Saccharomyces cerevisiae S288C: one gene and its partner. Changing the gene in region 1 together with any one later gene gives a genetic interaction. Each region holds a gene or a part of one and is shown in the gene's direction. Other genes may lie near its edges.

Evidence for each region. A genetic interaction does not mean that the proteins touch.
Region 2: of HAA1 (region 1) and PRS3, changing one enhances a phenotype caused by changing the other (phenotypic enhancement), as found in Saccharomyces cerevisiae (one study listed by BioGRID).

What each region holds. Positions count from the first base shown.
Region 1 is NC_001148.4:570,812-574,774, forward strand, and holds the start of HAA1 (Haa1p), read left to right. Parts: upstream 1-2,206; coding exon 2,207-3,963. Other genes in the region: REC8 (Rec8p), read right to left, coding at 1-567. UniProt on the Saccharomyces cerevisiae protein: Regulates the transcription of a set of genes, many of which encode membrane proteins. Among the genes regulated are YGR138C and YRO2. Does not seem to be dependent on copper.
Region 2 is NC_001140.6:80,154-83,616, reverse strand, and holds PRS3 (ribose phosphate diphosphokinase subunit PRS3), read left to right. Parts: upstream 1-2,000; coding exon 2,001-2,963; downstream 2,964-3,463. Other genes in the region: ETP1 (Etp1p), read left to right, coding at 1-1,653; YHL012W (UTP--glucose-1-phosphate uridylyltransferase), read right to left, coding at 3,200-3,463. UniProt on the Saccharomyces cerevisiae protein: 5-phosphoribose 1-diphosphate synthase involved in nucleotide, histidine, and tryptophan biosynthesis. Active in heteromultimeric complexes with other 5-phosphoribose 1-diphosphate synthases (PRS2, PRS3, PRS4 and PRS5).

The sequences.
Region 1 (3,963 bases):
TCTCCTTATTGATTTAGCTTCCTCAATAAAAGATACATTATCTTGGAGAGTAGTGTTAAGAAACTCCAGTGCGGGAACTTTAGTAATATCATATAAGGGATCGTCATCGAAAAAAACGCATTCTTCCCAGGTGTAATTATTGTTTTTGTTTCCTATAATACTGTTATTACTATTCAATCCATTAATCCTCGTAGACTTATTTTTGGCCTTAAAAGCGTATACATCATTTTTTTGTAACTGCACAAGCAGGTGATTTAGGTCATTCAACACATACTCGGTTTTTTTATTATAGCAAATTGTCACTCCATATAAAAGATTAGAAATGTATCTAAGAGAAAAATCATTTTCGAAATTTTGAATTTCATCACATGTTTTTGGTATGGAAATATTTACGATGTCTTTTTTCTTAACGGTGGATGAAGATATGTTTCCAGTGGAGTTGCTTTTGTTTGAATAATAATTGTTACTTTCCTTTACAATGGAATTTCCCAACGCAGAAAGCAACCACACTGTTGTGAGGCCCTTATATTTCTTGTCATCTTTAAAGTTCAACGAAAGAGGTGCCATTGCAGAATATTTGTAATATTAATCTATATATAGCAAATGCTTTAGAGTTGCTGAGGCTAAAAAGAAATTATAGAACAACTATAAAATATTAAGTCCGGATACACTGCTTCCTTTATACCATGCCCTTCCCTTTATAGTGTAAAAACGCGTAATCTTAATCAATCTGATATATTGGTTTGCCGCCGAAGTCAAGTTCTCCTGCTAAAACGAGACAAAAAGAACACGTGAAAGAAGAAAGAAAAACGTTACGATAAAATAAGTTTTATACCTACTTTCATATCTACCAAAGGAACACAATGAATTGCCGTATGTTATTCTTGAAGTAAGAGTCAAGTATTATTTATGGACTAGTATTCACGTTACTAGTACATTATCACATGCGGTGTAAGAAGATGATATAAAAATTGAGGGACAGTAATCAAATTCAACGGAAGTCAAAAAGGAAGGATTGGTAATGTATAATATCGAAAAATGTGCGAAATAGTTGATAATTGTTGGAGTTTTATAGTTGTTAAAGGCTATAATATTACGTATTTAGAATATACTAGAATTTCTCTATGAGAAGAACCCACGAAGAGATCGATATTCTCGATATAATGGCATTATTGTTATCCTTTTCATCTTATGTGACTGTCATTCATCATCCTACTAAATTATCAATCCTTGCAATTAGCTTCTATTACACCTGATGACTGTTTTTCAATCTTTATGTGATCTTTTTACACCCAATGTGATAAAGTACTAGTAACATGAATACTACTAAACAGATGATACTTTAGAGTTTTCATTCCAACACTCAATTGTAAAAATAAGACAATATTATGATTTTTTGGCTGTATAACCACATCTATTTAGTAGCAGGGTGACATGTTACTCCCACACAATACTTCGCGCAAGTGGTTTAGTGGTAAAATCCAACGTTGCCATCGTTGGGCCCCCGGTTCGATTCCGGGCTTGCGCAATTTTTCCCCCTCGCCCTGAAGGGCGTAACGTTAACGCTTCCGGTAATTTGCGAATAATTTTTCTTCCCATTTCCCCTTTCTTTTCCCTTTAACATGTGGAGCATAGCAGGCTCTTTACTTTTTTACGCATTCAGACAGTCGGGAGGTCAATTGGTGGTGCCGGTTGTGGGAAAGAGGTAATTTTATTTCCTTTATTGGACATGATTTCAATAGTCACATTGGGGCAGGAAAAAGAAAAGGGAGAAAAAAATTCAGTAAAGAAAAAAAATAAGAAAAAGAGAAAAGAAACAAGAGAGGGCTACAGATTTCTAAATATCCTTTTGCTGCACATTTTTTATTTACCTGCTAATTGGTCTTAGTAATACAGAGTCGTGCATTTCCACTTTATAAGAAAAAAAAAAGGGATAACAGCACCAGCACTTGATTGAAAACTAGAAAGTTCACGTTTTATAAGTCCTTTCCGTTCTCTTTATCAGTTATAATAAAAGAGCCAAGACAAAACGTGGCAGGGAAGCTTTTCCAAGGAAAAGAGGGTTGTAATATTAAACAAAAACCGTAATCAAGCAAAATAAGACCCCGTGGTTTTTTATCATAGGAAAAGAGTTCTCTGTTGTCACTCTACCATATTTGACAAGAAAAAGGAAACAAAAGTATAGAAAAAAAAAACCTAAAAAATAATGGTCTTGATAAATGGCATAAAGTATGCCTGTGAGAGGTGCATAAGAGGCCATAGAGTAACAACATGCAATCATACAGATCAACCGCTTATGATGATCAAACCCAAAGGTAGACCTTCCACTACATGCGACTATTGTAAACAACTTCGAAAAAACAAGAATGCAAATCCTGAAGGTGTTTGCACGTGTGGCCGGCTAGAGAAGAAAAAACTGGCACAGAAAGCCAAAGAAGAAGCAAGAGCTAAAGCCAAAGAAAAACAAAGAAAACAGTGTACCTGCGGGACTGATGAGGTTTGCAAATATCATGCTCAAAAGAGACATCTAAGAAAGTCCCCTTCAAGTTCTCAAAAGAAAGGAAGATCCATTTCTCGTTCTCAACCAATGTTTGAAAGGGTATTGTCTTCTACTTCACTTGACAGCAATATGTTATCCGGCCACGGAGCACTATCAGATACCTCTAGCATACTGACGAGCACATTTTTAGACAGTGAGCCGGGTGTTGGTAAAATTTCAAAAGATTACCATCATGTCCCTTCATTGGCCTCCATTTCATCCTTACAATCCTCGCAATCGTTAGATCAAAATTTCAGTATACCACAAAGCCCGCCGTTATCTTCAATGTCATTTAATTTTCTCACGGGAAATATCAATGAAACCAACCAAAATCACAGTAATCATCAGCATTCAAAATCAGGCAATAACTGGCAAGATAGTTCGGTAAGCTTGCCAGCGAAAGCTGATTCACGTCTTAACATGATGGATAAAAACAACTCTGTGGGTCTTGACCTATTAGGCCATTCAAAACGAATATCGCCGATATCAAACTCTCGTGTGGGCGAAGTTAGCGTTCCGCTAGAAGAATATATTCCTTCTGACATTGATGGGGTTGGAAGAGTTACTGATAAAAGCTCTTTGGTCTACGATTGGCCATTTGATGAAAGTATTGAGAGAAATTTCAGTACAACCGCAACCGCTGCAACTGGTGAAAGTAAGTTCGACATTAACGACAACTGTAATAGAATTAATAGCAAAAGTTATAGTAAGACTAATAGTATGAATGGAAACGGTATGAACAATAGCAATAATAATAATATCAACAGTAATGGCAACGACAAGAACAATAACAACTCTTCTAGACAAGAACATCAAGGAAATGGACTATTTGACATGTTTACAGATTCATCGTCGATTTCAACGCTTTCCCGTGCAAACTTATTATTGCAAGAAAAAATTGGTTCGCAAGAAAACTCTGTCAAACAAGAAAACTATTCGAAAAATCCTCAACTTCGTCATCAATTAACTTCCAGAAGTAGATCATTTATTCATCATCCGGCAAACGAGTATTTGAAGAATACTTTTGGAAATTCACATAGTAATGACATCGGAAAGGGAGTTGAAGTGCTATCTTTGACACCGAGTTTTATGGATATTCCCGAAAAAGAAAGAGAAACGGAAAGATCGCCATCATCCAATTACATTACTGACAGACCTTTCACTCGAAAACCTAGATCTTCTAGCATTGACGTAAACCATAGGTATCCACCTATGGCACCAACAACCGTAGCGACATCTCCCGGTGCATTGAACAATGCCGTAGCAAGCAATCTCGACGATCAACTGAGTTTAACATCACTAAACTCTCAGCCATCATCGATAGCAAATATGATGATGGACCCTTCAAACCTAGCTGAGCAAAGTTCTATTCATTCAGTTCCTCAGTCAATAAACTCTCCGAGAATGCCTAAAACTGGAAGTCG
Region 2 (3,463 bases), on another chromosome or scaffold:
AGTATCGGGGAAGAAAGTATTAAAAGTAATAATCAAGACTGGCAGGATTGGAGAGTCTGTGACTTGGAAATAGACATGATAACTGATTTCAAAAATCAAACATCAAAAGAAGAGGAAAGTGATTTGATTACTTCACAATACTTAGGCCATGGGATAATAAGGCTATTCAAGCTAAGCAATGCCAATAATACTCTTAATGAGAAGGAGATTTTGACTATCCCGGGAGATGATACTATGATATGTATCCTGTTTGTTCCAACTTATTTTACCGTTCACGATTTATTGCATTTTTATATTGGTGATGATATTGTTAATAAGCAAGTTTCAAACTTTCGTATATTACGAAATCAGCAGAAGGGAATGGGTTTTAATTTCACGGTCTTAATTAAATTCAGGAATGCACTTGATGCGAAAAATTTCAAGGAAGAGTTCAATGGCAAAAGTTTCAGCAGGATGGATCCCGAAACATGCCATGTGATCTCTGTAAAAGAAATAGTTTTTCAAAAAAAGCTCTTCCAAAGACCAGCCGCTAACGAGGACTTCCCCTATCTGCTTACTGATCCATTCACTGTTAAGAAAAAAAAGGAACTGGTAAAAGTCGAACTCCCCACATGTCCCGTTTGCCTTGAAAGAATGGATTCAGAAACTACTGGATTAGTAACGATCCCGTGCCAGCACACTTTTCATTGCCAATGCTTAAATAAGTGGAAGAATTCAAGGTGTCCAGTGTGTCGACATTCAAGTCTGCGGCTAAGCAGGGAATCATTATTGAAACAGGCAGGTGATTCCGCACATTGTGCAACATGTGGTTCCACTGATAATCTATGGATTTGCTTGATCTGCGGTAATGTTGGATGCGGTCGTTACAATTCCAAACACGCAATCAAGCATTATGAAGAAACTTTACATTGTTTTGCGATGGATATACGGACACAAAGAGTGTGGGATTATGCGGGTGATAATTATGTCCATCGCCTAGTTCAAAATGAAGTTGATGGGAAGTTAGTAGAGGTCGGCGGCTCCGGTGACGATGACAACAATGATATAGGCAACTCCGATGAACTACAAAATGTTGTTTACGGGAACAGGAGCAAAAACGGTGAGAAATCGAACTCTAATAAAAAAGATGGCGAGCTGGCGGCAAATTTTTTAAGGCATAGGGAGTATCATCTAGAATATGTGCAAGTCCTAATATCTCAATTAGAGTCTCAAAGAGAATATTATGAACTGAAATTACAAGAAAAAGATCAAACTGCGTCTGATTCTTCGAATGTTGAAAGTTTGAAGAAGTCTATGGAAGATTTGAAACTCCAATTTCAGGTCACTCAAAAGGAGTGGCAGAAAAGGGAAATGGCCCAGAAATCTAAGCTTGAGGAAGATATGTTAGTAATCGAAGGACTACAAGCGAACCTAGATCACTTATCAAAAAAACAAGAGCAGTTAGAGCGAGAAAACAAAGCGTTAGAAGAGTCTAAACAAGATTTGGAAGAGCAAGTCAAGGACCTAATGTTTTATCTAGATTCTCAAGAAAAATTCAAAGACGCTGATGAGAGTGTAAAAGAAGGTACCATCCTAATACAGCAACCACATGGGGCAGCACAGGCATCCAAAAGCAAGAAGAAGCGCAACAAAAATAAAAAAGCAGGGAAATGATTATCTTCATCACCGCCATACCATTCTTGCATTCTAAATTTATTATATCTCTGTGTACGGCAGGCTCATCGATTTTTCTTTTCTTTTTTTTTTTTTTTTTTTTTTGCCTGCGAAAATTTTCCAGTCGAATAGTAAGTAATAGGATGAGTTTTATAAAGTTATGATTGCGAACGGTATTATTCGCTAAACTCGTATCTGTTTATAATCACGTACCCTCTTATTTACTTACTTTTTCTTGAATATATCTAAGAAAGATTCATACTCTTTTTTCTACGTACTTTGCCAGCGCAGGATAAACGAACCTACCCATTCAAACTGAGCCTCATATATTCACTTAGGATTACAAAATGCCAACAAATTCCATCAAATTATTAGCACCAGATGTCCACCGAGGTTTAGCTGAACTTGTTGCCAAAAGGCTAGGTCTACAGTTAACAAGCAGCAAACTAAAGAGAGATCCAACCGGTGAGGTTTCCTTTTCTATTGGAGAATCTGTTAGGGACCAAGATATCTTTATCATCACGCAAATTGGCTCTGGTGTCGTGAACGATCGTGTTCTAGAACTACTGATCATGATCAATGCTTCGAAGACTGCGTCTGCAAGAAGAATCACTGCTATTATTCCAAATTTCCCATATGCAAGACAAGATAGAAAGGATAAGTCTCGTGCTCCTATTACCGCTAAATTGATGGCCGATATGTTAACAACAGCCGGGTGTGATCATGTTATTACTATGGATTTGCATGCTTCCCAAATTCAAGGGTTCTTCGACGTCCCAGTAGATAATTTATATGCAGAACCAAGCGTAGTTAGGTATATCAAGGAAAATGTCAACTATATGGATTCAATAATAATTTCGCCAGATGCTGGTGGGGCAAAACGTGCTGCCACTTTGGCTGATCGTTTGGATCTAAATTTTGCATTGATCCATAAGGAAAGAGCTCGTGCCAATGAGGTTTCTCGTATGGTTCTTGTTGGGGATGTTACTGATAAGATTTGTATCATTGTTGATGATATGGCCGATACTTGTGGTACTTTAGCTAAGGCTGCTGAAATTCTTTTGGAGAATAGAGCTAAATCTGTTATTGCTATTGTCACGCACGGTGTTTTATCAGGCAGAGCTATTGAAAATATTAACAATTCTAAACTGGATAGAGTTGTTTGCACAAATACTGTTCCATTTGAAGAAAAAATCAAGAAGTGCCCAAAACTGGCAGTCATTGACATCAGTAGTGTGCTGGCTGAAAGTATTCGTCGTTTGCATAATGGTGAAAGTATTTCTTATTTATTTAAGAATTATCCCTTATAAGTGACTGAAGAATAAATGGGGAGAAAAAAAATACTACAAAAATGATGAGTGATTTTCAGAATTTGATAAATACCTACGTATCTGATGTGTATACTTCTCTTCCCACAAATTGCAATGTAATGCCACTATTGCAATGTGCTCCAGTTTTTTTTTTCTGTGAGGATACATGATTCCTCTTACATAGTGGGAATAGAAGAAAACTTTATTCATGCATTTTACCCAAAAGTTTCTCTTGTTTAATATCCATTCATATCCTCCAGCTGAGATTTATGCCAAATCGTTACATTTTCCAAAATAGAGCCATCGGGAACAGTAATTACATCATTTTCATCACATATTATAATGACCGTCCCTTTCAGAGTTATATTACGACCAAAAAACACATTTCCCATCACAGTTAAATGCTCTAATTCCAGAATATTAGGAATATCTGGTACTCCTATCTTAAAAGTCTCATAAGTTGCAAACTCATCGCCCAAGTCGATTGAAGGTAATAATCC